2 linked regions of the Schizosaccharomyces pombe genome follow. The main gene of each other region encodes a partner of the protein of the gene in region 2 in a complex. Each region holds a gene or a part of one and is shown on either strand. Other genes may lie near its edges. The genes, in order: ipi1 and crb3.

Evidence for each region.
Region 1: crb3 (region 2) and ipi1 share a complex: the UniProt entries of both Schizosaccharomyces pombe proteins name them as parts of the RIX1 complex.

What each region holds. Positions count from the first base shown.
Region 1 is NC_003421.2:797,417-814,705, reverse strand, and holds ipi1 (rRNA processing protein Ipi1), read left to right. Parts: upstream 1-8,620; 5' UTR 8,621-8,696; coding exon 8,697-8,741; intron 8,742-8,784; coding exon 8,785-8,857; intron 8,858-8,873; exon of another isoform or gene 8,874-8,905; coding exon 8,906-9,028; exon of another isoform or gene 9,029-9,078; coding exon 9,079-10,079; 3' UTR 10,080-10,204; downstream 10,205-17,289. Other genes in the region: fil1 (zf-GATA type transcription factor), read right to left, coding at 378-2,051; protein mug4, read left to right, coding at 5,851-7,072, 7,129-8,444; RNA-silencing factor Ers1, read right to left, coding at 10,205-10,646, 10,688-10,774, 10,825-11,106, 11,149-11,259, 11,297-11,344, 11,395-12,674, 12,720-13,134, 13,190-13,239 and 3 more; protein Fta4, read right to left, coding at 14,088-14,647, 14,722-14,863; rps1501 (40S ribosomal protein uS19), read right to left, coding at 15,963-16,424; histone H3-H4 chaperone Spt2, read left to right, coding at 16,737-17,289. UniProt on the Schizosaccharomyces pombe protein: Component of the RIX1 complex required for processing of ITS2 sequences from 35S pre-rRNA.
Region 2 is NC_003424.3:2,300,075-2,315,762, forward strand, and holds crb3 (rixosome complex WD repeat subunit Crb3), read right to left. Parts: upstream 11,855-15,688; 5' UTR 11,818-11,854; coding exon 11,620-11,817; exon of another isoform or gene 11,498-11,619; coding exon 10,487-11,497; exon of another isoform or gene 10,444-10,486; coding exon 10,312-10,443; 3' UTR 10,197-10,311; downstream 1-10,196. Other genes in the region: protein Mac1, read right to left, coding at 448-2,718; acyl-coA-sterol acyltransferase Are1, read left to right, coding at 5,271-6,884; met16 (phosphoadenosine phosphosulfate reductase), read left to right, coding at 7,655-8,455; arb2 (argonaute binding protein 2), read left to right, coding at 8,952-9,138, 9,185-9,495, 9,536-9,593, 9,640-9,872, 9,924-10,014, 10,056-10,141; SPOM_SPAC13G7.09C (uncharacterized protein), read right to left, coding at 12,544-12,951; teb1 (Myb family telomere binding protein), read left to right, coding at 13,672-13,887, 13,975-14,057, 14,116-14,989; mba1 (respiratory complex assembly protein), read left to right, coding at 15,113-15,275, 15,312-15,525, 15,627-15,688. UniProt on the Schizosaccharomyces pombe protein: Required for both pre-rRNA processing and heterochromatic gene silencing. Component of the RIX1 complex required for processing of ITS2 sequences from 35S pre-rRNA.

The sequences.
Region 1 (17,289 bases), on a different chromosome or scaffold from region 2:
AAAGAGCACTTAAAAATTGATCAGTCAATTTAATTTCAATCAGTAAGACTAGAAATAAAATATCAAGTGAAATTTTTGTTTATAGTTGCAAAAGCAAGATACAAAAAAAAAGAACAAGAAAAATGAAAAAATAAAAAATTCCAATAAACCCACACATCAACCCTTTATGCCATATCTAATCAAAAGTATATCCCAAATGTGTATTCAAATGTATAGGTTTTAGCTACAAAAGTAATCTTTCAGTACGAAGCGTAGTCTTCAAAACGATTGAAACTTGCAAGCTGTAATAAAAACATAAACAAAAGCTAGAGTAGAAAATAAAAGAGTTTATAAAAACCAAGGTGAAAAAAAAATCAATAGACTCTTAGTAATGTCTTTCAACAAGAGACCGAAAATTTATTCTCTATTTCTTCCTCCTTCTTGACAATAACCGAGTTGTCCAACGAATCAAAAGAGATTTTTGCATGCTCCAACGAAACATCAGCATCGGTATTCGGCATTTTCGAAACAGAAACAGAGTTGGTAAGCTGAGGTGATTCAAGACCCTTTGAAGAGAGTATCTCGGCCATCGTGACGGATTTTGAGAGTACGGGGAATTCTGATTTTACCTCGTCAGACATTCCATCTTCTCCACCAGGGCCCTTACCACGACGACGTCGGGTAATTTTGTTCTTCTTCAAACCAATAGGACGATTGTGGCCATGAAGACGGGCATACAAACCACAAGCGTTACAAACAGTCTGTCCGTGACGATCTTTGCGCCACAACGAAGTTTTCGTAGAAGAGCAATTGGCACACACCAAATTCTCAAGTGCCTTAGATGAGCCTTTGTTTCTAGGAGACAATGGTCTCATAACACCATACTGTTTGTTGTAAAGACCACAAGCATTGCACAAGAAGTTAAGCTTATCTGATGTACGTCTCCATAAAGGCGTTTCAGTGACTCCACAGTTAAAACAGACATGTTCGCGATGTTTCTTTTGTTTCATTACACGTGCTGCCTTACTAGCCTTTTCAGTTTTAACGGCAGCAAGGGGTGTAGAGCCTTTCATTCCCTCTGCTAACGTCGACTTCAGACTGAGAGAAGAAGAGTTAGAGGACAGATTAGGAGTGGAAAATTGGGGCAACTTAAGTGAAGCATCCATGAGTAATGAACGAGCCTTTTCATCTGTTTCAAAGCTTTCAAACGAAAAGAATGGATCAACGGTAGCGATCGAATCGGACAAGCTAGGAACTGAGCCCAAGAACTCAGATTGGGATAGCAAAGCAGAAGACGAACCAGTCAAGGATGAGCTCGATTCGGAGAGCTTCGAGGGAGACGTGGAATCGTTCAGCTCCCTTTTAACAGGCGACTGAGGTGACATGAAGCCCAGATTGCTTAGCTTGCATCCATAGTTGGTGGGATAAGATATGGAAGCAAACGCACGCTGACAATCACCATCAGAGGCAGGGAAAAGAGGGGCTTGACTTTCATCGAAACCAAACTCGGAATCAAGAGCACCAGGGAATGGTGTATCGATTAATGCCGAGCTTGGCGTTGGGATGCAGGGAGTCTGTACATAAGAGAAAGGGGGTGTGGGTTCTGACGTCTTACTGGAAGACAAGGCAGCAATGTCAATATGAGAGTTCGACAGTATGGTAGACTTTAGCAATCCGGAATCACCGAGTTGCGCAGACTCTAAATCAGAACATTGCCTTTGATTGTCGAAATCCATGCTGTCAAGAAGAGACCAACGAGCAGAGGGGTTGGTTTGCAATTTCTGATTATTCTCCGTAGAGTTAAAAGCCAAGGGATAATCAGAAAGCAGTTGCAACATTGAAACCGAATCAAAATCAACATCTCCCTTGCCTGGCGCATTGGCGAAAAGGGCATCCTTATGAAGATCAATGGGAAGATTTGCGATATCGGATAATGCTGTATCAGCGGGGGAAGTGAAAGTAGGGTCAAATTCGGAAAATTGACCGTCAAACGACCCTTCAGTCATAGCCGAAGTAGGGAAAGAGGGCTGACCAAAGGGGAAACAAAATTCAGTAGTATCGTTGTAATTCATGATAACAAAATAATTGGATTTGCTATAAACACACAGACACAAAGATAATTATAAAAAAAAATAGAAAAACAAGGGAGAGAAACGAAATTATAATACCGAATTCAATCACACGCGAGTAATATGTTAGTCACACACAGACAAAAAGTAATAAATGTTTAATGTTGACTTTGTAAAAAAATAAGAAGCATAATGCACTTTGGGGATAGTTAAAAAAAACAATAGACCCGACCAAACGATGTAGAGATTCTAAAGACTCTAAATGTTACAACCAGAGGAAAAGAAAGATATTTGACCGAAATGAGTAAATAATAAAGGATTATTCCAACGAAATTAACTTGCGAGTTACATCATATTGGAGAATTATAAAAAAGAGATAAAAGGAAGACGATTAAAATAAGAGAGAAAATTATTTAATCAACCACAATAGTAGAAAAGATTAACCGAAAAATACTAAAAAGATATTCGATAAACAAAGAGATAGGAGAAAAATTTTGGTAGAGGGATAGAAAACCTAAAGCAAAATTAAGAAGATAAAAAAAATGAGGTGAAAAACAACCTACGATAAATTCTCAATGAGACAACATTTTGAATGATTTAGGAGAAAAAGACTTAACGACGACACGAGGACGAACGAAGCATGCTTTGTAAACGTAATATTGGGGGTGGAAACAAAAGATCCGAAACAACAAAAACAACCAGTATATTCGATTTCAACAAGGAAGTAAAATCAACTTAAAAAAACGAGGACTTTATAGATAATTTAACACATCTTGGGAAAAATTAAATCTGAAAAGTAACTAGAAAACTGAGGTATGTAAAAAAAAATATGTCAACACTAAATGGAGTAGAAGACAAAAAAATAGAGATTTAAAAGCTTAAAATAAATGTAATAGACGATTTACGAGATCAGGATGTTAACGCTGTACTAGTAAAATTGTGTGGTAGTTGTGGTGTTGTTGGTTGTTAGTAAGTTTGGTGTAGTGGTAAAATAAAAAAGGAAAAGAAAAAAACCGGCGGCGCAACGAGCTCTTAAATAGGAAGAACGTGACAAGAAAGCCACTACGTAGTCAACATTCATGCAGCTATTATGGACAGGTACGGCAACTTTTGATTGGTAGAGAGAGGAGGCATAATAGTAGGGACAGCGCCTTATCAGAGGGCTTATCGAACGATCGGGGTGACATCGGCCCCAAAGCTTATCGCATCTAAGTCGCTTTGTAAGTGGTGGGAAAAACATTAGATAGCCAATCAAAGATTGCAAAGACTTGAAAGCAACACCCAGGCCAGCACGCAATGAACCATCGTTCAAGTGCATTAAAGTATATAGCGAAAGAGAATGGAATGCAGTAAAATCAACCGGCTGTGGAAGTGAGTAGCGCCGATATCGCTATATAGGAAGTGTGGGGGTGTATATATAAAATGGGGGCGAAAGGGTTACTATAGAGACAAATAGACACGAGGTAACTAAGTAAGTAGGTAGGAGAAAAGCGAATTAACAATTTGAACTTGATAATAAAATAGTTGTGTATTTCTCAGTCAATTTAGAATCAATTGAGGAGAAAACTACATGATCATAGAAGGGAAAGAAGGAACACAGCGAAAGAAAGAAGCGTTAAACAATAGGAATGGTTCTTTTTGAACCGATTGTTTATAGAAATAATAAAATGAATGTTATGATGTGAATGTATGAGTGGAATGTGGATGTGAATATGAATATGAATATGAATATAAAAGAAGATGTAATTAAAAAGTAGGATTTGGAATTTTTCACAACAAAAACTCGATTAACTGTAAATGTCGAGTCCTATTGTTGGTTAAAAAGAAAATTACTTAAAAGTCCTTTTGTAATAAATTCTACTCTTAAAAATTAAAACTGTTTATGCCTTATTATTACACATGTGTCCGACATGCCTTGCCTGTCCAAAATGCCTTGTCTACTATACTTTTCTATACTCAGTCTAACGCATTTACTTTCTCTGCCTGCAACCTTTCTGACCCGCTATAACGATAGTGACTGTATTCGTTTAAGCTTAGTTTCCGTGTTCCATCATCAATTGTTAAGCTTATTTCCGCAAATACACTCGCTCTCGCTATTTAAAGAATTTTCGGATTTTTTCGGTCTGCGCAGTAGCGACTATGAAGGCAGCAGAAGTACATTCCTACCGGAGAATGAGTTCCGTTGGTATTACACACGGAAGGCAAGTGACAAGGCTAGTGAAGGATGATCGATTGATCCTATTTCTCGGGTTGTAAAGGCCCCAAAAATAGAGTGTTACAAGAAAGTAATGGGCCTTGCTTTGTGCGTATTTTTGTTATTCAACATGAGTTTGCTATAGCATGAATTTTCTCTGAAATGCGCATACTAAATTGCAAAACTTGTTTGATAAAAGTGCAATACACTTATCATAACGATGTTGATGAGTAAATGAATGTTGCGCATCACTTGACAGTAGCAAAGTGCAATTATTGGTTTGCGCAACGTTGTTTTGTTCATTTCGCCAACTTTGCTTATTCACACCGGTTCTATGTTCAGGCATTTTGTTGGTCGTTGGTTACTAGAGGAAAAACTGTTGTTGTTGATACAAACAGAACCCAATTGTCCTTCAACCCAATCGTTTCTCAATGTTTACATGGTCAAGGTTTGTAGTGGAATAAATGGAATGGGCTGGGATGAAAGGAAATTAGCACGTGGAAGTGTAAACACATGATTTTTCAGCAATCCCGCTAATGTGATAGGCTTGGGTGAGAAGATGAAAGAGAAATAAAAGAAATAATCGTTCATCAATTCGTTCAACAGTTATAAAACAACCCGACCAGATAAAGTATTTGAAAGATTGGAGTCATTCAAGAAAGCGTAAGGATTCGAGATTGGAATCGTTGGAGAGATAGAAAACAAAAAAAAGTTTTGCTAAGCAACCATTGTATAAAATTTGAAAAAGAATTTTCCTTTGCTTTTTGTTTTTTTCACTTAGTACAAGTAAACAATCTCTTCCATTGAACCAAATCGTCCATCCTTTGTCAGCACGACCCTTTGCATCCCTCTCTATCCCTATAACGATAATCTTTCACTACGCTGTCCTTGTCTAGGATTTCTGTTGCTGCTAATCCTCGCTAAACATGCAATAGTATTAAAAGTTGTTGAATGACATCGTTATTTTACACAACGAATCATAGCGAGATCATCGCTGCTCATTGTCGTAAGCAGGCCAGGTGTGTTCATATTATAATTGTATCGGGTAAATGCAGCCCATGTAAACAAAAGAAATACGCTTAAAAGGGATTAGCTAGAAGAGAAAAAACCACCAGAACTAAAAACCAATAAAATAAAATAAAAAATCATTGTTTTTCTATTTCTTTCAGTTTCACCTTCTCGTTACTTCCTATCGCCTACTATCCATCTACCCACTGCCCACCTACCAATCTTCGGTCGGCCTCGTCTTCACCCACTTGTTTTTGTTTCATTCCCCCTGCATACACCCCATTTTTTTTATTCAATCTTTCTTTTCCTTTTCTTTTCTTATTTTTGGCTGTTTATTGCTGCTGTTTCCATTCCATCATCTGCTGGCTCTTTCTTTGTTTACATGTGCTATACTGATTGCTTCTTTGTCTTGCCTGATCTCCAGTACCACATCATTTCTTTCTTTTTACATCTCTTTTCTTCCTAAACCCATTTGTATGCAGCTCATGAAGTATTTCCTTTTTCCTTCATTATTCATTCATTACATGAAATAAAGTGCTCGTTTACCTGCTTTTCAATTCATTTGCTGATTTGATTTGCGCTTCTTTTTTATTTTTCACTATGACCCCACCGTCCTCGTCTTCTCATTTCCCTTCCCCTTCTAGCGCCAACAATGATTTTCATTCCTTAAGCCTTGAAGCGCATGGCTCCTTGTCCGACAAATTCATTTCTCAGTTTCGCTTAAACTACACAATTATACCCATTGCGCAAAAATCTAATATCTCTTTACCCTTCCTAACTTTGTCTCCATGCTCCTTCACCATCTGTTCTCTGCGAGCCCGTTTACATTCTCTGCATGGCCCATCCACAGTTTTTTTAAAGCGTGAAACTTCCCAAATTAGCGCTCGCGTAAATGACGAAAACGGTTTTACTGCATCTCCCAGTTTTTTTAGTGTTGATTGCTTCGACGAATTATTTCCTACTCTGTCGACTACCGATGAGCAACCAAAGGAACCATCTATTATTTCCATTTCCAGTAGTTCTTCTGACCCTAGTTCCTCCCCTCCTCCTTCTTCCTCCCTTTTAAAAACTCCCGACAATGATTTTTGTGCTCGGCCAGAAACGTTTGTAAAATCAGATACCGCCGATATAAAGCTACAAATACATCAGAATAATCTCGTTTTAACATTCCTGGATACAACGACTGTCTCGAAAGTAAACATCGTGCTAGAAATTCACATCCCAGTGCTTCGTGACTTTGTGACGTTTGAACAGTATATTCCTTTAATGTTTTTACCGTCACCATTTGAGACGATTCTTTCTTTTGATAATCTAAAATCGGACAGTCCCTCTTCTGACTTACATTTAGGTTGGGATCATACTGTTTCCAAAGAGTCAATGTCACAATCTATTGCTGAAGTCCTAAATCCTTACAACAAAGGTGTTTCTCGCTCTTTGAATGACGCTACTAACATGGAGACTTATCACTGGTCCCCTTTTCCTCCTCAATTTTCAACCTTTAATGATAATGCTCTTCGCCTTCGCATATACTACAAACCGAAATCTTGGCTTCCCAAAAATTCTAGTTGCTCGCTATCTGTAGACGTGAAAGCTACTTTGCTTGAGACTACCCCCCCATCATGCGAAGTATCCTATAATCTACTACTAACGTGTCGCTCCTCTAACCGTTTTCGCCTTTTTCCAGCTTCTACTCCTAACAGTAATGGTTTATGTCGAAACGACTCAAAGTGTCGGTTTTTAATGATACTTCCGGAAACCATTATTAAATCTCCTTCTTCTTTTATTGGTGATTCATATAATATTGCAAACATTGATCCACCAAGTATGTAACTTTTTTCCTCCTTTTCGCTATCAAACTACTAACACTTTTCCCGATAGGCTCTATGAACGTTCAATCGTCAGAATTTCGTGTAGGTGAAGTGCAGTCTTTTACTACAAACACATCATCCTTCGCATTCACATTCAAGGAAATTGTACAGTTGGGCTCCAAAGCTTCTGTACCCATGATTTTGTTCCCCGCCCCTTCTAACTATAAGCTAACGATAGAAAAACCTCCTTTCCCATGCGATTTAACAATACCTCATACTGCTATAAATGACTCTTGGCTTCCTATGAAGTTGAAAGAGACGAATGCAATTTCTTACTACAGAAAAACATGTTCCTCATGCAAGTATCCTTTCCAATTCTTTATTAATAAACTACCATTCTACCAAAGTCCCTCACTACCCTTGAGTGCTACTTATGTTTGGATTGCTTCTGCTCTTTTGTCAGTTCAGCCTGGGAACGGCTCCTTTAACATAATGCTTAGCCTGAAATTTGTTTCCTCAATGAAACCGGGAACTGAGCTGTTAACTATTAAACAACCAAAGTCTTCACTTTTAAACTGGGGGCTAGTTAATGGCTATCCTAAAACTGAAGGAAGAATTGTTCTTCTTCCTCGCAACGACATTGTACTAATTCAAGCTGATCAACCTACTTCGGTTTTTGATTTATGTTGGACTATTAAACCAACCTATGAAAAAAGCTCAAACTTTTCTTGCTTACAACTGCCAATTCCAGTTTTAAATACACCCATACTAACGCCAGTGACCATTAATATACAATCTACCACTTATTATCTAATTGGATATGCCAATCAAAATTCTAAAAAAACTCTAGATCAACCCACTAGCTTATTAGTACTCGGCTGCAAAGCTAAAAACGTTTCTGAACTAATACTATCTTATCTACCGGAAAAACCTATACCTGATGGTGCACCTATTGTAACTAATGTCGTTGAAACTAATAAAACCAATGAAGCACCTTCGAGTTTTCGAAAGTGTTTGCAGCAATTCCTAGTGTTTCTGACTTTTACGGGGATGACACTTTTTATACTTTATCAACTAACATTTCCTTATGGTGTCGCTAAAGACAACAGTTCATTTATTGATACTCCACTGCCTCATAGTTGTGAAATGGAAAAGAGTTTAAATGTATTACAGCATAAAGTTTTGCAACTGCAGGCAGTGAATATGAAATTACATGATTACTATGAAAAAGAACCAACTGAAATTTACAAAACCGTATCGGTTACTAGCACTCAAATAATGCCAGCTGTTACAAAAATGTCATCATTCGAACTTGAAAGGGAGCAATTTCATAAGGCATTTGGATTTTTACGGCTAAATAGGAAGAAAGATGACAATGCCAACTAAACATTAATTTTTTCAATCATCAGCACACTTTTTTAATCGTACATACAAAATGCAAATCTTTTGATTAAATTGAAATTTTTTATTAATGAATGTGTTGTTGCAAAACGACTTGGATTAACAAATCGAAAATTTTCTCATTTCATTACATTAGGCACTACTCACATTTTCTACATTTTGGGTACTCCACCAAACGTAACGTTGTCTGAAAGTACGAAGTTTAAATTGTACAATTAATTCCACAATATATTAAATATGGGTAAATCAAAGAAAGCAAAAGCTAAAAGAGCTGATTTTAATGTAAAATTGTTGTCGGAAATAGCTGTATTAACTGATTTTTTAGAAACAAAAACTCAAGGTGGGAAAATCAAAAAATGCACCAAATAATTTTACCGATACCTCATTCAGAACAAAAAGTATGAACAAAAGGAATTTTTATTCAAATAACTAACCTAAACATCTAGCGCTCGTACTTCCAACACAGGCAGCTTTAGAAAAGGAGGATTTCAATACAACAGCTAAGGATCAGGCGTACTTTGCACATCTTTTAGGAATGTTAAAGCATCATAATGCCAATCAACGGCAGGGTAAGAGAAATTTTCTATTAACTTATGCATCTTTTGCTAACATGTTAAAGAGACGTTGGAAAAGCTTACACAATATGTTTTATCTCATACAAGCATTTTGACGACGTCGACAGCGCTGCTGTTAAAGTTAACATCGCCTTTGATACTTGATGAATCCTCATCGGTACGAGATTGTCTATATCGATTTCTTGAAAAATTTATATATATAATGGGGCCAGAATTGCTGGAACCGAACATTGGAATGATATTTCTCTACACACACTCAGGGATGACTCATATTACTCCTTCAATACGGAATGACTCTACAAAGTTTCTCTCCTTACTCATCAATGCTTGTAAAGATCGGCTAAGTTCCTCTGCAATTTCGTTACAGTGGAAGAAAACATTAGAGTGCTTTACAAACCTTCTCGGGTGGAACTCAGAGAGTGCCTCTGTGAAGAGAACAACTAGCTTTTCAAAGAAGTCTTCCGCTAACATGATAAGACACCTAACTGTATGTAACGATTTTTTACAATTGGGTTTGAACCCTAAGTTACAAGCAAAAAATCAACAATCATCCGTTCATTTAAAGTATCCCTATTTGCAACAATGCATTGTAATACATCCGAAATACGAGGCGTTTAGATCTCCTTGTTCATTTGCATATTTGTCGCTATTCAATCCAAATAAACACGATCTTGTCGATAACCCTACTTTCCGTTGGCAGACAATATATCCTTTAATACCTGGAATTATAGAATTCATTAGAAACTCGTGGTCTGACGCTTGCCCAGTTGTTAAAGATGGATCCAACTCTCCGTCTGCTTCAAAAGTTTGTAGAACGGTTTTATCGATGCTTGGATTGTTTACTGAACAAGTTTTCAGTGTAGCTGATGAACCCAACAATCATAGGAAGAAAATATCTCAAGTTTTAAGAAAAATAAATAGGGACATAGAGTTGATAAATATCAATTATGGAACAGATTCCGAATGGAGAGGTGTATTGAAAGGATACGATAAATTGCGCGAGCGTGCAGTGGAATTGGATGCATTGGAGAACCCGGGTAAATGAAACTGACTCTATATGTTTCGTTTTAAATGGGTCCTCGCATTGTTTTAATTTAAGAATTTGGTTTGAGGGGTTATTTATGTTAAGTGGTATAAACAAAATTGATATTAACGCATAAATAAAATTAATTAAATAGTAGGGTGTATCCCCCCTAATTGATTCACCATAATAATTGCTGCAGTATACAAGTCTGAAACATTCTCAGTAATAGCCCCACCAATGAATTGTTTATTTGCAAGTTTCCACGGAGCCGTTTCTCCTGCGCGTATACTGTTATTATATTTGAACTGAGACTGCATGTACACACTTTGTATACTTAGACTGAAACAGGATTCTATAGGTTTGCTTTCCTTGGATCTGTCGAGACAAACGAAGGCTTCTTTGGAATTAATAGATGACGGGCTAATGTCATAGCTCTTAACTTTTGAACATTTTAATATAAATTCTAGAGAGTGAGGGAGTAAATTTTTGTTAAAAGGTACAGAGTTTTCATTAATTCTTGTGACCGAATGAATTATTACTCTGTCTTCCATATTTCCAAAGACTAACAGTAAATCCTTATTTACGTTTCTAGTCAACTGATTAGTCGAAGCTTTCAGAAATTGACATACCTAAATCTAATACTTTTGGAGAACTCTGTAAGTATCGCATCATTTAAAGGGACTTTCGTTTCGATACGTAGACGGGAATCCCATAAGCTATAAGTCATGATTAGTTGTTTTTTTCCTTAAAAACATTCATAACATACGCTAAAGGAAAATTGATAGTGCAAGTAGAAGATTGCTTAGAATCTTTATAAAACGCAAACTGATCTAACTTTGAAGAACAAATCATCGAAAAAAATACAGTGGAATCCTCTGTCTTGTTTCTCTTATCATCTGTAAATAATAAACTTCCCTTGAAAACAAAGTAATTCTTTGAATCTAATACTTCATGCTCTATTAAAGGATAAGTATACTCAGTACGTCCAAACAAAATTTTCACAGGAGTATTCAATAATGAATCGATATTCGAAACTGATTTGGTAATGCTTTATAAAAAGGTTAATATAACATATGAAGACTCAACCTACCAGTCTGCAAAATATGATCGGGGAAGATTCAAATCCTTATATATATTCATAAAACCATGTGAACAAGCCGACACATCTGATGAGATATTTGGATATAGTATGACGCCAAACCTGTTGGATTAATATTTATTCAAAAATAAACGCATACTCTAAATTCAATTCAATTTCACCTGAAAAGGATTGAAGTACATGCAAGCTAAACAAAGTGTTAGACTTATGTTTACATATTTAGTCAATACCACAGACCTTCTAGATAACCATCTGTGCAATGATTTCAAATTCATGTTGTCAATCTCTTCGTGATTAATGTATTTTTCAGAGCATACTATTTTTGGTTGAAATAAGTATAAGCTTCCCACACCGTAGCTTGATACCGGATTGGAAGACATTAGAATTGTATAATAGTTGTCACCAAGGTCGTCCATTTTCTCATCTTGTAAACGTAAAAACTTCATGTCAATTGAAGGAGTTAAGCTGCCAGATTTTGGAGTGGAACAATCTGATCCTTTGTCAAGCTCTAAACATTCTACACTTAATAGGTTTTTAGACTTTGAATCGTCGAAATCCAATTTTGCGCAATTTTGTCGCAAAGATTTATGAACATCATTAGCGTTAACTTCATTAAATTCATTTGAATTGACCAATTGAAAAGTCTGAGACTGTTTAGTTATTGCTTCGTCAACAGTATTACCATCCGAAGAAACAGAATATCTAGTAACCAGCTCTTCTTCAGGTTCCAATGGTAAAGTATTGCTCGTAGGTCGAGGAGGAAGCTGAAATTTGAACCGAGGAGGCTGCTTGCTATTAGACTTATTAATTGAATGCTCAATTGCAGTTGTTTTATCTTGGAAATGGGTCAAAGATGAAGTTCCTAAAATTTGCTTATCAATCGTGGGTAATTTATTCAACTTGTTCATAATCATTTCTTCAAAATTTGACGGATTATTCTGGTTAACAACAGGATCAACTGCTCTCCTTCCTTGATGAATTGAATTATCAGATAATTCGGTTGACGAAGAATGAAAATTTGACGGCTTTTGTAAGACTGGGATCGACAAATTGGATGAAGTTTTATTTAACTCGTAAAATCTGTGCGCTGGTTTCGGAGAAGAGAAGTTTAAAGAAACACCTGCAAATATTTTACATCCTATCAGCTTTATATCATCAGAAAATATTTTAAAATTATCATTACAGGGAGGGGTTTTGGAAGGATTTTTAGCAAAAACTGGTACCAACTCATAAGAATCACCATCATGTTTATTTCTCAATAATCTCATAGTATAAAAAGATCCAAGGATATTGAAAACGCTTTTGAAAATAGATGTCGTATGCATAGCTGTGTATAAAATCTCGTTTTCAAATTTTAATTTTAGAAATTTCAGTTGGCAGGGTGCAATCTTTCCTGCATAAACAAGAGTTTCTTCAGGATATTCATAGACTTTCTGGGACACTAAATTCTCTATATGCTTCATTTTCTCCAACATAGCATTAATGTCCTGATCGTTATTGGCTAATACAACTATTTTCTAGTCAAAAGTTAGGATGGTAGAAGTATCTTCACAAATACATACATTATCTTTTAAAGAAGCCTTGTATTTTGTGTTGGTAGCATGCGCAAACTCCTTGAGCAAATCATTATTGTCGGGAAGGTAAAATAATCGCTTGAAACTCCCGTTGTAAACAGTAGGCGAATAAATGACCTGTTTAAAATTTCCTTCCCATTCAAAAGGAGTAATGATTTTAGGTTTTATCAAGCAAGGAATATAAAAATCGGAGGATGTCGGTTTCTTGCCCACTTTAGACTTAACAATGTCCTCATTTTCTTTTATTTTCACATCTTCAATACCGTATCCTAAGTCTAAGTACCTTTGAAAATTCAATAAAGTAGTAAAATCATAATGCAATTGCCCGAATGGATGAATATCTAGGCGTGGTTTCTTGTAAACAGTTGATTCGCGCTTCAACTTTTGAACTATTTCCTCAAAACTAGCATGTTAATTAATATTTAAAATAATATTTAGGATGAACGCATGGAACTTACAGACTAAACGCTTCTCTTTTGTGTTCCTCGTACACTATGACTTTGAATTGCTGAATTATTAGCGTCAATAGCTAGGATATATAAAATACCTGAGATGAAGAAGAGTAAGAAATTTTTACTTTTCCATTATATTCAGAACTATATCATCAGTAATAGTCCATTTGCGCAAAACCATACTTTATACAATTTGTGAAGGAGGATATAAATTCAGCATTTAAAAGCAACGCTGTATCGATATAAAATTTAAAAAATCCTAATATTAGCAAAAGAATGATACACATTGACTTACCAGATTGATTGTTTGCAGATACTTTACCCATCACTCATTTCATCGAGCTTACAGATGGTACATGCTATATGCAGCTTCAGAATATAAGTGAAGTAATATGAATTCATTAGGAATATAAAGCTTTATGAATTATCAGAAGAAAAGAAAAATAATTAAATCTATAGTTCCTTGTATGTAGGTATTATAATTGTGATAAAATTAATGTTAACGTACTTACAATCGAGAGCTGAGTATTTGAATTATAAGCTGTAATGATTCATTAAAGGTTAGAAACACTGTAAACTAAAAAATAAAACTAAGACAATTGTTAAGAAACGTATTTTGTTTAGCGGACACTCATTTGTAAATAAAAATGTGTTGTCTTATCAACTAACTTAATGCCTCCCAAAGCTAGGAAATCATTAACCAATAAATATCTGAACGTAAAGTAGAAGCTTCAAAGTTATTTCTATAGCCCCAACATTTCTAGTAGAGTCAATAAAATCCTTAAACCAGGAAATAAGGCACCCTCTCCTCCAATTAAGTATTAGTCATTATTTCAAAAGCAGATGATGAGATGCAATAGGAGTTCATGAACATCATTCCCTCTCAATTTCTACGAAAAGTTTTTTAATCATCAGAAATAGTTTTTTCGAATAATTGGCTTCTGATTTCGTCCTCCAATGACGCTTCCTGATTGTCATTGTTTAAAGAAGGAAATGAAACCCCTCTGAGAAGAGAATTAATTTTAGCTACCATGGTGTTCGTACTGTTGAGGGTTGATATCAATTCAGGGTTTTTCTTCCACATATTCGTATGTATTGAAGAAGGCCCATCTTCAAAAGGTTCCAACATTTTTTCGATTTGCTCAAGTTCAGAGCGCTCCTGTTCTAATTCTGACAACGTTGTTAATAGACCAAGTAACTCTCCCGTAAGACGATTGAACTTCTCTTGCTCCTCATCCTTTTCGACAGGTCGGGATTCTTTTTGAAAAGGCCATGGATGGGGAAGTGATTTTACACTGTCTAAATTGCTTAAATCAATTTCTCCATAAAATAATGGATTTAAAAAGGTAATGTCCTCAATAGCGCTATTTTGTTCATATAACTTTCGTATTTGAGCGGCAACATGCTGAGTTGCTTGATGTGAATAATTTAGCTTTGCATGCTTTTGGATACGAAGTTGCAATCCTGTTTTGGTTAATAATAATATTTTGAACTTTTTATTTGTAGGAGAAATCCAGACAAAAGCATGGAACACGTACGTTGGAATACAGTTTCAACGACTGATTCTGAAAGCTGACCGGATTTTAAAGGAAGTTTCCAATCCTTTGGAGGGCGCATAGGTCGGTTCAACAGCCGTATCTGTCGTTCCATGAATGATTTTTTATGTTCGTAAATATCCATTTAGGAAGTAAATTTGATTTAAATCAAGATTATCAGGATTAAAATAAAAACAGTTGAATACTGATCGAAAAACAAGTCAATATGGTATTGAAATTAACAAAGCAAGTTCACGCAAAGGCAACAAACTAACAGCGACTTTTGAGCATATAGACGTCTTCAGTGTAAGCACTTCCAAAATTAATTACTTAACAAAAAAAGACCAAATCAATCAGACCTTGGCTGATGGTTGATTAATGACAAATTTTGAGAAAGTTACAGGAGACTAAAGAAGTCGAAAAGTCGAGCGACTAAATAGAATACTTTGAATGATGTTAAAATGAAGATTTTATGTACATAATCATTAAGCTAGCTCCTTAGAAAGGACTCGTCTAATGCGAGTTAAAAAATTAGTGCATATATCAGTTCTAAGATATAGCGAAGAGAGTAATATTCTATGAAGGATGAACCCTAGAGTATAGTGTATTGTGAAGTTGACCTAGGATATACCATTAATATTGAATAGCATTAAACATATTTATTTATCCTTAAAACTAATAGCTTACAAAAAAATTCAGATTTACAAACAAGCACCCAGAATTGGTACATATACTCTACGGTGGTAAAACGTAAACGAAAGCTTGGTTTTTACAATGTAGTACCATTTAGGTTATTTCGAGCTAGTTGAGAAACAAAAACAAATGATGGTTTCCAAAATATAATGATAAAATATTCTCATAGGTTCACTAGCTAGATGGCAAGCCAAGAGTGGGACAAGTAGCTTTTGTAAAACATCATGAAGCTAGCAATCTAATCGTAGCTGTCAAATTGCAGATTCAAGTGTCAAGTAAATCAATATGTCCGGCTCTGTGTTACACTTCCATGCTCCTTCAACTATACACACTCGTTACTTTACAAATACAAAAATTATCTGTCTGTATTTCTCTTTACATAATTCATGTTTACGAACACGCAGCTCTACAACTGTTACTTTCACTACCAAATTTAGATATCTTGAAAAAACCTAGGTTTTTATGCGAATGTACAACGTTAGTCCAAACAAAGAAATTATTGAATAAGATAGAAGTGAAACCATCCATTGAACCCGCCTTTTTGCATCTCTTTACTTAAGAGGAATGAAACGAGAACTATGAGTGGCACCAATACCGGGACGACCGTGCTTAGTAGGCTTGTAAGTGATAGAGAACTCACCCAAGTAGTGACCAATCATTTCAGGACGAATCTCAACTTGGTTGAAGAGCTTACCGTTGTAAATACCAACGACAGAACCGACCATCTCGGGAAGGATGATCATGTTACGCAAATGGGTCTTAACAGTGGCGGGCTTCTCATTAAGAGGAGCTTCAGTCTTAGCCTTGCGGAGCTTACGGATGAAGCGAGAGGCATTGGGTCCAAGACCACGAAGCATACGACGACGAGCACGGGCATGGAACAAATCAACCAATTGCTCAGCAGAGAGATCCAAAAGCTGCTCAAGCTCAACACCACGGTAAGCAAAAGTACGGAAACTTCTCTTCTTTCTCAGTTCGGCAACGCGAACGGCTTCATCATGTTCTTCGGCCATGCTGTGTATTGGATTTTATGCCGTAGTTGGTGATGGTCAAACGTATCTTTTCTAGTGTTTCCTGCTACAAGTTTTGGTCACTATAAACAGTCACGTAAACCCTACCCTATAAAATTTCTTAGAGTTAAATAAAGGGGTACTGTATATATCGTTACGTTGCACAATCGCTTAGCTTTTGGGTATCAAACTTATGTGTGCGACTTACCAGAAACCATCATCGTATTGCATGTAGGAGGGTAATCATGTTTTTGTACTGATTATTTATGGTTTTTTGAGGAGGATTATTAAGAATTGATTGTATCTCATAATAAAATGGCAGGAACCCCATCATTTCAAAAATTAATGGCTTTAGCAGATAGCCAATCTGCCCAAGCCGCAGTTCAAATTGAACAATTGAGAAAGGCGCAGATCCGAGAGAAAGCACGGGAAATTACTGAAGAACGCAACAGGCAAAGGAAACTACAGCGTGAGCGTGAACTACGGCAGAAATATGAAGAAGAGCAAAGACGCCAGCAAGCTATGGAGGCGAAAAGAATAGCTGCATCGACAAGACAGACGTCGGAGCGGCCTCCCTTATCCGCTGAGGAAGCTAAAAGAATCCGTGAAGTAAAGGAGAAAGATCGGCTCGAAAGCAAAAAAAATGAGAGGCAGGGTAAACCTCGTTCGTATAATGAGCTTTTGCGACAGGCATCTTCTGCACCAGCTGTCAACGAGACGTCTTCCTCGGGGTTGCTTCAATCAAAAGATAAGAGAAGTCAATCACCGCACTCTCCTAAAAAACCTGTTAAGAATTCATCATCTAGAGATCAACCGGTTCGTAATAGTGGGGCTACTTCCACAGCTAGTCTACCACCCGCTGGTTTAC
Region 2 (15,688 bases):
CTGATGATAGATACATTTTTGCATTACTGTATTCTTTGGCCCGTAAATATAAATGCAACAAAAAATCTTTTAAAACACATACTCTACAAACCATAAAAAAGTACCTGTTTGCGATAGCACTACACAATTCCTACAACTATTTTTAATGTAATACCAATATATCGTCATTGTTCTCATGCTTATTCTGAAAGAATATTAATGAGATGGAAAGATAAGTAAAATGAATAATTGAAACTGTGCATGCAAATTTATAAAAGGAACCAGTCCTTTAATTAATAGGTTCGCCAAAGAGATAGTAAAATTGTAATAAAAGTAAAATGAATGAAATGAAAGAAGATGAGTAAAGAATCAATCTAAGGGAATAAATCGACAGTTTACCGAAACTATCAATTCTCAAATTATACATAAGCTAGCAGAATGAAGACAAAATGTCCAATTGAATAATCATTAACGGATCATCCGATTTCCACCAGGTCCCCGTCTATTATTACGGTTACCACGAACCGGAAGCTCGAAATCAGCGTTGCCTGAAAGCTGATCTAACGTATTTGAAACAGGGGGAACATTAGATAAATTTTGAGGGTCTCTCATCATACTGCGAGGACCATAACCCATGCCGGCATGGGCGGTATTCAGGCTGCCATGTGAGGGATTACGACTACCATTTAACTCAAAAGAAGGTCTTGACATATTTCCATAACTTGGTCTCTTGAATTGGCGAGAGTTGTTTGCTAGTGGAATGCCGTGCATACTGAGATCCAAGGCTGAATTATTTCTGGAGTTAGGAGAAGTTGGCATACCACGGGAATTTCCAGGAATGCCACTTTGACCGAACAAATCAGTTGAAGAATTACTCCTAGATGCGTTTCTAGGACCATTACGTAAATTCATTGGAATTTGCGCATTAAATTCACTTGAAGAATTGTTTCTTGAAGTGTTCCTAGGACCACGCATATTGACTGGCATACCACCATGAGCATGCAAATCATTTGAGGAATTATTTCTAGGTGCACCCCTGTGACCGTTATTCATATTTGGGTGCATCCCGCTCTGTGCATATAAATCTGAAGAGGAATTATTACGAGATGTGTCCCTAGGACCATTTCGTCCATTCATCGGCATTCCAGATTGAATATGTAAATCGCCCGAAGAATTATTTCTGGGAGCACCTCTAGGACCACGCATATTCATTGGCATTCCACCTTGAGCATGTAAATTATTCGATGAATTGTTTCTAGGAGCATTTCTAGGGCCATTTCCAACGTTTTTAAGCATTCCAGCCTGTGCATGCAAATCATTTGAAGAATTGTTTCTAGAACCAACTCTAGGAGCACCGGTCATGTTTGTAGACATTTCACCTTTAATGGGCAAATCCGATGGGAAGCTAGAGTGATCATTCACAGGAGAGCGTGTCTGAGGCATTCGAGTAGCGGGAGGCTCATCAAAAACACTACTAGTTGTTTTAGCAAAATGATTTGGAATACCGGGATGTGTGATATTTTCAGTATTACGAAGTTGAGTAGATGAAGCGTTAGCATGAATGGCAGCAAAAGGGCGAGCAGTCTTAGGGAACATTTCAGGCTTTACACTGGGAGTTTGAGCAACAGAAACTTGATTTTCTACATCAAAGAATCGAGAATCTGTACCCTCGCTACTAATTGAGCCAGCTTGACGATTACGATAAGGTTCCAAGTCAAATTGCGTGTTAGCAATACCAGCTGTGGTAGGACGTGTACGAGGTATATTAAGGGAAGGAAAGCCAGGTCGATTTCCGGTCTTGTGGGGACAATAACCTTCGGTTTCATGTACTTCAGGTTTAGAAGTACTAAGCACAGAGGAACGAGAAGGCGAAGACTCCGATTTACGGAACTCGTCATAGTCTGCTATTATAGAAGGTGTATCGCGGGAAGAAAGTTTTGCAACACGCGATGGTACTGGAGAAGCCACAGTACTTTCGTATCCCGTGGCGTATTTAATATCACCTGGATATTGAGTAGTACCAACCGTGTCACCGCTATCTGAAGGAGGGCCAAACTCCGAAGTAGATGTAAGAGCGTCATGAAATTTGGGAAGTGTGGGCACACTACTGAGCTTGTCATCCAGCGCCAAAGGATATTTAACATCAGTTTTGTAGCTCGAGTACGATGAGTTCATCGTATCAACATGTTCCAGACGTGCAGACTTCTGTCCAATACGAGAAATTGAAACACTTCTCAGGCATAGCGCTAAAATAGCGATCAAGTCTGAACCAATAGCTCCGGCGGTGACATATGACTGCCAAGTATTATGAGGAAGGAAGAGAACCAGCTCAATAGCAAAAGCAAGACAGGTAAGTAATGTAGTAATGAAAACGACTATGATATTGATGATGTTGACAGCTTGATTAACCAAAAAGATGGAAAAAAATACAAATATCGCACTAAGGAATGACAAAAAGGCGCTGATTATATGAGTGATTAAGACTTTGGAAAGAACTAGGCGCTTATCACCTTTATAGTAAAAATCATCAATTAGAGAAGAGCTTGCATTGTAACCAAAAGAAGTCTCGGTACAATCAGTTCCATTACCAGTGCAAGTGCCGAATATACCAAACTCTGTACCTTCGACTTTAGCCAGAGTCATACGGGTAGAAGGCACCGACACACTACCAATGATTAACAATGCCGTTGGTATCAGAAGAAACAGAATGGCTAGAAACGCTAAAGTATTGCGAATCATGTTGAACACGAAAAGTTGCTAATAGTTGTATTTGTTCGAAAGAAGAAATTCAAATGCACAAGGGCAAAATAATTTATGCAAGTAGATGAATGAAAAAATAGAAAAGAAAGCTGAAAAGTTAAGATATTCTTATAAAAAAAGAAAGACGGCCTAAAATAAATATTGCTCGGGGATTTGGGGGAAATGAGAAAACCGAAAAGAGAGCAGAAAAAATTTGCAGTAATAGGCTAAATATGAATGTTTATTAAGTGAAATCAATTAATCACTTATGTATACTTGAAGATTAAGAAATGAAAGGGAAATGCAATTAAAATGGAAAAAAAGAGAGTCAATATCCCAAAGCGATAATGGAAGTCCAATTAGGATAAAGAAAGAATGACTTGAAGGTTTTGAATCACCAAGTGTATCTAACACCTACTTTACTATGCCAAAATTTTTTTTGTAGTTTTTCTTTTAAAAAAAGTAGAGTGTATAAAAAAATCAGGGAAGATGAGGTAAATAATAGGTAAAGTCGAACTAAAAGTTCGATACCTTTAATAAATACTTAGTTCACAAAAGTTATAAAACTGTGAATGGTTAAGGATAAAAGTGTAAACAGAGGTTGCTAAACATTGTTGCACAGCCACACAATATTAAGAACGCGCAACGAACCTACAATTCCAATGGTATCCACATATAATGACGCAGAAAGTAAACAAATGATAGACCAAATAGTCAAAATAAAGGGATACCGTTGTCAGGTAAATTCCCAAATTAGTCCAATACAAAGATAGCGGTTGCCAAATGTTTTTGCCTTTATTTACTTGAAATGTAAAAAATCATTCAATGGAAAGTTGCATCCTTTGGATATCGCATAAATAGACGACTGGATCGTCTTATTTCTATTTTCATATGGAATATTGGCAGTAGATGGTTGGATTGTTTTAAAAAACTTGCATATCTGGATATAATGTGATTGAGATTGTTTCAGCAAGGATGGATAAACAAAAAAGAAAGTAGTATCGTAATTTCTATGTCTTATTTATCGTTATCAAAACGGTATGGTAACAAACCAGTCAAGCTACTGTTTACCCAGTTTCCAGCTTTATTTTATCGTTTAAAATTTTTACTAATGTAAATTTTGTTAAAAGTCAAGGGTTATATGGAGGCAGAATAGTTATATTTCAATCAGATCCTTTTGGAATGATTGCAATTAGGATTCTTGGTCTATTAGGGCATTTACTATTTAACAGTAAGTTATGACTCGGTAGAGTAGTAGGTAAAACATACTTTAAGAATAGTTCTTTGTTTGATTATTCAGTTTCCTTAATTTTTTTGTGCTGATATTTTAGAATAAAAATACTATTCAATGAACAATTTTAATTTATTTATTTTATTTTTTTTGCTTTTTTCCCGCTATACTCCGTTTTTCATTGCTAACTAATTTTTTACACTGTTGTAGCCATGAATACTTAATAGTGTTTTAGCGATCACCCTAAGTATTCTAATTTTGAGGTGATTTCCTTTGTGATGCTTCAATATAGTATGTCTGATTAGCGGAAATATGCTAGTTTATGACCATTATTTTATGGAGAGACACAAAGTGGAGTTTTAGCATAGACGCTACGTTGCACTCAAAGTAGTTGCAAAAACAATATAATGCTGCAATGTATAAAAGCTTATGCTAATCGTTAAAAGAAAAGTCAATTGCTTGTTAGTTGAAATGTAGAATTCAACTTTAGTAAAATAACCCATAATTGTTCACTAGTTCAATTTACTCATGCTTTGTGCATTATTATACAAGGTGAAGAGTAGTAAACGTGATACTTAAATATTATAGGCTTTTGGAAAACACATTTTTATTGGCATTTAACCGGCATACTGTAAACAAAATGGCCGATCCTAGAGGAAAACCGGTCTATTCGAAAGAGCACAAAGAAATTATGTTTCCAGTTAATAGTTCCCAAATAAAATTTGCAGCTACTAATCAAGACAAACAACAACTGATTGTTTGGCTAATAATTAATTGAAAATAAGAAAAAGAATTAAGTGTATTTAGGTAAAACACTCTTAGGTAAAATTCAATAGCAGCAAATCAACATTCTACTCAAAGGTTATATTCCGGTCCACTAAATGTGAGAAAATCCCGAGTAATTGATGAGGAAAAAATATCTTTTAAATAGAGAAGTTTTTCAAAGTTATTTCTAATAGCACCTCAATTTCTTTGGATTGCAACTGTTTTTACTAGTCAGAGCTTTGTTTACTTCGTCTGCTTCTAAAGTTAGCAAAGAACATGTAACTTGGGTGTAATGAGATGAAGGTGACGTGCACTCACTAGTGGTACTGATCCTCCAACGGGATGATCGAATCATAATTTAAACAGAACTCAGACTTTTCAACAAACATTTTCAAACAGAGTTGTTTACGAAGAGAGTAAAATATTCAGAACAATAATAAAGAATCAACGTTCATAGATCTACATTAATATTTATTTTCTTACCTCCTTATCACCATTTGCTAGTTGGTTTGAATACTATTTGTTTCTTCTCATTGCAAGCTTGACCGATTGAAGTATGACAGATACTCCTAGGATATTGATTACTCCATCTCCGCTTAGCGATATAAGCACAACGATTAACAAACCAAATGTTCATCCCAGTATGAGTCTATTGAAGGCTCTTCCCGAATGCCGACTCGTTGTCAAATCCAAGGGTGATAAAAATAACGCAAACGTTGTTGAATTTCCTCTGGATCGTCATAAACAATTATTAATTGCAGGAAAAGTTTACCATGATTATAAGTTTAAGCCTCGTAAATCGATTTTTGATCGTGTAACCGATCCTAATTATTTCGCAAAAAGTGAGTTTAGAGGGTTTTATGTGCTTTTTTGGCTTTCAATGGCTGCATGGGTACTACAGTTATATGCAAGAAGTTATTGGCAACGCGATACTTTGCTTGGTTTACCACTAGCTAGACAGGTCTTTCGCCAGTTTTTCGTGTTGTTTAGCTCAGATTTCCTTATGATTTGCCTCAGCTTTTTTAGTTATGGTTTACAAGTGTGTATTGAGAAGAACATGATTAGATGGGCTAATTTGGGTTACACAATCCAAACTTTGTGGCAGGGCTTTTATATGGTGTTAGCTGTCTATTGGGTTAAGCATCGAGATTTTCCAATTGTTCAATGTGTTTTCTTCACGCTGCATTGTGCCGTTCTAATTATGAAACAATTTTCTTATTCTCACCATATGGGCTATATCAGTGAGATTCGTATATTGCATAATGAATACGAAAAACTTTTAAAGTTTGTTCGTGAATGCCTGAATTCCACCGAGAAAGATGAGAAATACACGTTTGAACTGACTTTTCCCAATAAGCCTGCTGAAACGATATCTACATTGCAGGCAGAAGAAATTGTCGCTTTAACAGCAAAATATTTGTCACGCCAGATGCGTAGCGAAGTGGGCAATGTTGTTTATCCTGATAACATCAATTTCTTTAATTACGTTGATTATTTATTAGTTCCATCCCTTGTCTATAGTATGGAGTTTCCTAGAGTTGCCCATTTCCGTTGGCATTATATGGCATTTAAAGCAGGCTCCACATTCGGTTTACTAGCTCTCACCTTGGCTCTTGTAGATTGGTATTTCGTTCCAAGTGCTGTGGCTGTCAAAGATCTTGACTTCATAGGGAAGCTACGCATTGCTCCCTTGTTAATGAACAAAATTATGTTTCCCGCTATCATACTTTACCTTATCATGTTTTACCTGATTTTTGATTGCATTCTTAATGCATTTGCTGAAATCACTAAATTTGCCGACCGTGGATTTTATGGTGCTTGGTGGAATACAGTTACATGGGATGAATTTTCGCGCGAATGGAATAAGCCTGTCCACGTTTTTCTCATGAGACATGTTTACCATTCATCAATTTCCGGTTTCAAATTAAAAAAATCTCACGCTGTTCTACTCACTTTTTTAATTTCCGCTCTTGTACACGAATTTGTGATGCTGCTCGCAACTGGTAAATTCCGGTGTTACATATTAACATTTCAATTATTACAAATTCCTCTTTATGACCTCCAACAAATGTTTGCTTTCAAAAAACGCGATATCCTTGGTAATGTGTTTTTCTGGATTGGAATGTTCACTGGTCCTTCATTTTTATGTATCTTATACATTGTCTTTTAGTATTTGTTTATGAGTTTGGTGGGTTTATTAGGCTAAGACTTTTTCTTATCATTCCCTTTTTGTCGGATATTTATTCTGGTTCTTGGAGTTGTAAATTAATTGCTTAAAACAAAGTGCCCTTTTTTTGCATATTGGATTTACGAAGGTTTATACCATAAAAAATTTTTTTCGTCTCCTTATTACACACCTTTAATATTAACTATAATATACAAAACGTTATAAAAGATTTGTGCATCAACCTTTGACTAACGTTATTGAAATAATTAAAGAGAAATTTTTAGTTCATTAGAGTTATAAATTTAAAACCAAAAATAAAAAAACGGTGTAGTAACATTAAAATGCGCAAAATCTCTCTCTTTCATCTCGTATTTGATACATTTAATAATATTCATTTATTCTAGTATACAATTCACTAACTATACTTAAATGCTAATGATCTTATTCTTTTTTTCTACAATTTACTATTACCAACTAAAATAGGTATCGTCTTGTTACCTCTTCCTTTGTAAGCATCGATGCAGATCTTCCGTAATAATTATTTTCCAAACCTGTCTGACTATTCTCTAAAAGTCTTACAGAGCACACCAATAGCTTCTATAAAACTATAAAAGTAAGTGTAAGTAAAATTTTTCTGCGTACACGACTCAAATTTTTTTTTTGGTTTTTTTGAAAAGTTTTCGACTTTTTATCTTCGGTTTAAACCATTGGTTCCTCGCCGACATAATTGATTTCGTCCCAAATTTTGGTTTTTCTAATTTATTGTACTCAATATGAGCTCAATCGATACGCCTGCTAATAAATTGCAAGCGAAAACCTTGTTTCACCCAGAACATCTCGAATACATCAACAAGCAGTTATCGGAGCTTAGTCCTCAAGATATCTTAAAATGGTGCCGTTGGACACTTCCTTCTTTGTTTCAAACATCTGCGTTAGGACTGTCCGGGCTTGTTATTATGGACATGTTATCGAAAATGGATATGAATGTTCCTCTGATTTTTATCAACACACTTCATCATTTCCCAGAAACACTGGATCTTCTTGAAAAAGTCAAAACTAAGTATCCTAACGTGCCTGTTCACGTCTATCGTTGTGCTGAAGCAGCCAACGAAAAGGAATTTGCTCAGAAGTTTGGTGAGAAGCTTTGGGAGACAGATGAATCTCGGTATGACTTTTTAGTCAAAGTGGAACCAGCAAGTCGTGCTTATTCTGACTTAAATGTACTTGCTGTGTTTACTGGCCGCCGCCGTAGTCAAGGTGGAGAGCGCGGATCTTTGCCCATTGTTCAGCTGGATGGACCAGTATTAAAGATCAACCCCTTGGCTAACTGGTCTTTTACTGAAGTTCATAATTATATTATTACAAACAACGTTCCATATAATGAACTTCTGAACAAGGGTTACAGATCAGTTGGTGACTGGCACTCTACTCAACCAGTTAGAGAAGGTGAAGATGAACGTGCCGGACGTTGGCGCGGTCGAGAGAAAACAGAATGTGGATTACACAGTCATCCTCAAAGTAAATTCGCACAATATATGGCGGAGCTTAAAAAGAAGGAGACGGCTGATCAGTGAAACAATCCTTTTGTGCAATGTTGTAAACTGCTTTTTTGTTATCGAAGTGCACCATATGAAAAAATACGGCATTTTTAAGTAGACAATTCAAGAGTTTCTCTTTGTTTTAGTTGGTCATTGTGAGAAGGTTTTCAGCATACATTCTTAGTAAATGGGTTAAATTATTATCGTGACGAAGAAGGTTAGGGATACACTATGAAGAAACTTCTCGGTGTTTACACCTATACAAATAGATATATTAGAAATAAGATGATTTAATTATCAAAAAATTGAAGTGGTTTATACGTTGAAATTTGAAGACCTAAAACCATATGAACTTACAATGCTTTCCTCCTTTTTTTTATTAAATATATAGAATAAACTATGTAGTATTGATCTACAAATTCATATATATATTTTTTAACAACAAAAATTGAGTCACCATTCAATTATTTTGTAATGTCACCTACTACTAACCGACTTATCGTAATTTATTATTGGTAAGTAGGCCTTACATATGTTTAGGAAAAAGAAATCCCGTGTACTCCAAAGGGACGTCAACTTTGGGAATTGTCTTGAAGACATGAATCTCCAAATTACCAACGATTTTTACTTGAGGAAGTTGAACGCGCCAAATGAGCTATATGAATTTCAAGTTACCAAAGATAAAGAGTACAACGAAAAATTCTATTTTGCTGTACTTGGTAGGGTAATCATTTAATTCAGGAGTTAACTTGCAATTGAAATTAGATCACGTTTACAGTTGGACTTTACAAAATTCCCTTCTAACACGAATATCTATACCATTGGAATCTTCACCGTCAGAACCACATAGTTGGATATATGCAACACGAAATTGGCAAACTAATGAAAATGGAATAGTTATAATTATACAGTCAATGTCGCACCCCTTAATCTGGTCAAATAGAAACTTGCGCGAAGGCGATGTGAGACGTGCAACTGTACTAGATGTAATAGCCAAATGCACAGAAAAGAAACTTTCAGTTGTAATATTTTCTCCCTCTGCGCTATTATGGGACCAAAGCATTAATTTCCCTAGGGTATGTGCAAATTTATTCAATAATGTTTACCAAAATTTAGACAACCCGTTATTTCACCTCTCAGGGACTTCAAATCACTAAAAAATCTATCATAAAAGGTAAGATTGATTCCTAATATCCAATGAAATTTTTAACAAAGAATAGACGTCGAGACTCCAGAGAGCTATGTGTCAATAGGGTTAAACTATGTAATGTCCAATTCAGTGAGCACTAAAATACACTTTGTGGGTTCTGAATATGGATCGTATTTGCTGAATTCTTACTTGGACTTGAATTGGAAGAAATTTTCTGGCAAAGCGGGAGCTATACTTTTAATTATGAATATGAGCATTAATGAAGAGCTTCATGACCCCGACTATGTTAGCTACCTGATAGAAGTGAGAAAATAATCTTTTCAAATGGAAATAAATAATAACTAAGACTTTCAGCATGCACGAAATTATCTCCCTTCACATGAGCCTTGTCGACATTTAATGAATAGCATAATGACCGAAAGCGGCATACCTAACTTTTCAGCAGGTATGGAAACCTTGACTTAGAACAAAATTTTAACAAGTTAGGAAAATATATCGATGAATTCTATGACTACATTGGCGATGTTTTGCTTGAGATGATTGCTCTCGACACTAATACAAGTAAAAGCTGAAGACAGAGAACAAAATAGTTAACGATAAAAAATTAATTCAACATATTTAATAAAATTTTCCAATGAGATTATAACAAAAGGGCTACAACAATTAGAACCCCGTTGCTACAAAAGTGTAATTATTCCAATCCCTTATAATTTTATTCAAATTTTTAACCTAACAAAAAAAGTTACTTTTGCAGGTATTTTTCCCATAACGCTTGATGAATTTGCTTTAATTCATAAAATAATCTTTTTGCTTCCTTGAGCTGCATTTCACTGGTTTCAGCTTTGGCACGCCAACTGGACTCTGAGCCTTGTGTCTAAAAATTATGTTAGTTCAAAATCTTTAAGAAGTGGACATACGACAATATCAGAGCTGATTTTGAGAATATTTTCCGGTTGCATCAGCTGCTCTACCCCATCATCTTGAATGCAAATTCGAACATCTGAATTTAAGTACTCATTTGTAATCATGCGCTTTAAAACTGGAAAAGAAAGTGAAGAGTTTGAATAAAATGATATCTTGTCGACCTTGCATTGAAGAAAAGAGACCGGCGAATAATACTGAACGAGGCGGCGCAAAACTTGTCGAGAAACACTATCCCAAACCAAAACATTACCATCCTTATCACCACTAATGAGTAGAGAAGCATCAAAGGAAACAGTCAACGTGGTTATTGGGGATTGACACGATATAATACTTGATTCTCTACTGTCGTTATAATCTACAACTCGACCCATACCTCCGATGGCGTTTGGAATAGTAGTATTATCAACAGACGTAACTCTTTTTTTCTCTTTAACGTTGTTAGAAAAAGTGGATGATCCTGTGTATAATGGAATCCATATTATTCCCTTTTCGTTACCAACGTAGACAACACGTTCGGAAGGATCCACGGTCATGCAACTGGGAGTTGAGGGAAGAGCAATCGTTGTCAAAAGGTTTCCTGTAGAAACATCCCAAATCCTTATTGTGTTGTCTTCCGAAGCCGTGTAAAGTCGACCACTAACGATGGGACCAGGGCCAATTTCCATAGACACGATAGAACGCTTATGACCAGAGAAATGAGAAATCGCTTTAACTGAACTATTACTTGTTTCAAAAGTAGAGTTTTGGTCTACCAAAGTGCTTATCAACCAAGCGAATACATCACCATCGTTGGAAGCAGTGAATAAAACCATACCATCATTGGAAAATTTCAAAATGGTCAAAGGTTGGTAGTGTGCTCTGAAGAAATAAATAAGAGCACCGGATTTTAATGACCATATGTACAAATTTCCTTTTTCTGTGCCTGCTGCCAGCCAAGAACCACAAGGACTCGATTGCACACAAATAAGTATTTCAGGTAAAATGATTGATTGATCCAAAATTTCCTACACTTGTATTAGTTTTACTCATTTAAAATGTGTTTAGCTACTTTAGCTTGAAATTAGCTGTAAAACTGCTGTTATAAACGAAGTAAGCGTACAACTAATGCAGTGCAGAGAGAACCTACCTTTCCAAAATTGTGAATATTCAGCTGTGGACGGGTATGTTGAGCAGATAGCAAATGATTCAAAGTAGTACATGTCGCGTTTTTAGCAGGTGAGCTTTGACGGAATGTGCTCACCAGGGTACCGGTATGTAGATTGTGGCATAGAACATTACTTGGTTCACCCTCAATAGCTTCACAGCCAGAAAGAAGCAGCTCCATAAACCTTGAAATGCGTGTTGAATAAACGCAAATCGCTGAACTGAAATGTTAGCAACAAAGCGAAATTTGCAAGAAAAGTCGTGTTGGACTACATTGCTAAATTAACCGAATTCAACCGCATTTCGTTAAAATGACTGTTTACTCTATTTTCTAGAGCAAGCATAATTGTAGACAAATTATCTAAGTCAGCTATTTACGTTTCCAAATTGATATAATGGGCTGTTTGGAAACTATATTAGTTTTATTTGTACCCAATCAAACGTATATTGATTTCGACTATACTGTTGGAAAATTTCTGACTTTAGTGGTGTAAATATGTTTAATGTTTACATTTTCGCTACACGATTTCATGCAATGCTTTTCAATTAACCAAGAAAAGGTTACTTTATTGCTAACAGAAGAATTGATTTAATTCTTAAACATTTGTAACAATATTTTAATGCATGTATAAATATAGATTAAGCCAAATTTCGGTGTCAATATGAGGATCATCCGTTTAAAGTTTGTTAAAAATAACTAAACGGTTCAATCAAAAGGCATAGGAATTGAAGGATTTGAACGTGATATTTTTAAATGATATTCGTTTTTGGATAAAAATGTATAATGTATAATGATAAGCTCAAGTGGTGATATATAAAATCCCCAAATGAAACCACACAAAGAGATTAATCAGAAATGAAGAAATATAGTTATTATTTTCTGGGAGACATTATTAAAAATTTAAGATTAAACTTTCTCAATTTTTAATTGCCCTTTCTGGCTAACACGCTTTTCACGAGACCCCGGTTCATCTAAATCCGGCGTTTCTTTATAAAGTCTTTTTTTCTTACTAGTGGGCCGAGGAACATCGATTCTCCTAGACAACCTTTCTGAGGAGACATTTAAATCGTTATCTTGTTTAATGCTTATGAGTTGCTTACGCTTTTGGTCACGTCTCCGATTATTTATTCCACGATTATGGGATTGAACATTTCTCACCATATTATTCAAAAAAACTTTATTAGGGCGAAGTTTTGTTTTTTCCTTTTCAATATAGCCATGGTCGACAAACGACTTGTTCTTTTTTTTAGATTCGTGAATTAACAGTTTAGCAACAAACTCATCAAAGTTGAGTCTGTCAAGTGATGATTCCATGATGAGTATTATTAATGTAAATCATTTATTATCATTTCATTTAGGTAATTTGGCAATAATTAAGTGGATAAAGTGTGGATGCAGGAATTAAGAAGTGGTGGTGTTCCTGCCTAGTGTATAAACTATGAGAAATCAGCACGATCCCACATCACGGTAAAATGTTGAAATAAGGCATATGCTAAGTACACATGATTTATTCGAATTATTCAGTAAGCATCAAATGAATCTTAGTTACAAACAGATAGCTAATATTTTTCAAACTTACGGCATTAAGAATTAGCGTTAGGCCAAACTGATATACTAACTACATTTAGTTACTACTTTGCTTATATGTACAAGCTGGTCAGTTATTTAAACATCTTACCATTCTGGAATTTGAAAATTAAATGTTAAGCTAGTTCAATTCAGAGTATGTCTATTCAGTATAACCTGTATTTTTTTAAGATTTTTATGTTTATAAAAAATAAAGATGTATCAACTGTCTTTTAGCTAACCTATTGTTGGTTTGTTTACTCACCTCAACATTATGGTGGCCAATGTGGGGGCCACGAACTTCTTGTTATTGATTTCCTGACTTGGCATTTGCATATATATATAGGCGTTGAAACATCTAATTGTACATTAGAGTCACCACTAGGGAATTGTTGAAGGTTTCTTGTACATAACCAAAAACCCCATAAAAAATTATATCGTAACTTCTCTTTTGTAATCAAGTTGACCATGAGGTCTATGAAACCTCCAGGGTTTTCATCAGATCTTATGGATGAGCATTCTGTCGACTTGTTGAATGGGTCCATTTTGGCAGCTGAAAATCCCTCTAAAAGGGAGGTAGCTCAAGATGTTCCAGGATTCGAGAGAAAGCCTACGAAAGTGAGAAAGCCTCGAGTAAAATGGACTGAGAAAGAAACTAACGATTTACTACGGGGATGTCAAATTGTATGTTAATTCAATACTGACATTGTCTTTTTATTAGTAATTGAATATATAAAAATGATTTTTTTTTCGAAAACTAACCGTCTCTAGCATGGTGTTGGTAATTGGAAAAAAATACTATTAGATGAACGTTTTCATTTTACGAATCGTTCTCCCAATGATTTAAAAGACAGGTATGCATGATCAAATTTTTTTCATTGCCTAAATCAATTGCTAATGGGTATATGCAAGATTTCGGACAATTTTACCAGAAGATTACAAAAAGTTTTATCCCAATGCGAAAACGCATATGGGACGGCCTCAAAAAATCCCTCATACGGTAGGTTTATCTAAATCAACTAGAAAGGAGAGAAAGCAATTTACCCCAGAAGAGGATGAGCGTTTATTAGAGGGCTTTTTTCTGCATGGTCCTTGCTGGACTCGTATTAGTAAAGATGCAAATCTCGGACTTCAAAATCGTCGAAGTACAGATCTAAGGGATAGGTTTCGGAATGCTTTCCCAGAAAGATATGCGGCTGCTGGATTTAAGCTTAAGAATAATCCAGGCAATAGATCGAAATATTATCAGAATAATATGGTAAATGATGCTACGACCCCGAACGATAGTTCTACAACGGAGGCAGCAGCAGCAGCAGTTGCTGCAGTGGCCGCCGTAGCTGCTAGTAATCCTAACGCATCACCACAGCAAACCACTGAGCAGCCAGCATCTGACGAGCTGCTCGATTGGCCACATCATAATTTACCAAGCCAATTTTTTACATCTCAACGGAATCCTAACTACTCGACTGATTCCTTTTTACTGGGTCAGTCATTGTCTGATCCCTTTAATCACACATTACAATCATTTCACCCTTATGAGTCTTTGTTTTCTGCAGGCCAACCTCCTTCATTACCTATATCCCCATCGACATCGCAAAACTCGGTCCAACCATTTCCCTTCTCAATTCAACAACCTCCACTTCATTTGGAGCCTCCCTTAAGTTCAAATACGCTTAACTCGTCTACTCTGCCGCAGCCGAATTCCACTGATTTCAATACTTTTCCACCTTTGCCCTCGACTCCTAGAATCTCATCCGAGGATATACCGTGGGACAACCGGGGATAGTGATTTAGTACCGTCCTCATTATTTCCTTTCATCTCTGACTCACAACATTTATCCATCGCTCTGCATGTCGTTATTCATTTAAATTTTGTTTTTGTTTTTTTAAATATTTTTAGTATTTAAATATGAATGTTCTTAGAACTCAGAAATATTGGGTGAATCAGTTCGCTATCAATTTCGCTTGCAGAAATACCTACGTTAATCCTATGTTTTTGCGATATTTCCATTGCGCTGTTCCTCGTGCAATAAGTCAAAGGGCATTAAAGCCTATGGATATACCGTTTTTGCGTATGTTTAGTGTATATAATAGTGCTGACTCTATAGAATGTTACATTGAACCTATCGATAATACATCATTTTTCTTGCATCCTTTTAAAAAAATACGTTTTTGGTGGAGATATTTGTTCTACGGTTGGTGGAATTTAAAAAAAAATCAATTCTTGATTAAGCGTACCTTTCCTGACCGTGACTTCAGCATCGCCGAAATTATTCAAAATGCTTTAAAACTTCATTCTGGTGTCAACAAGGCACTTGCTAAGTACGTATTTCTGTAACGTTAATATTGGTTTGCTTTTTTTAGAATTTCCGTTAGCCATTAAACTTATCACATTTCAGTTTTGCTAACTTAGCGTTGTTAAGTCATGATTTACAGCAATTAGAGGAATTATGTACCTTGAGAACTGCTCAAATATTAAAACAAC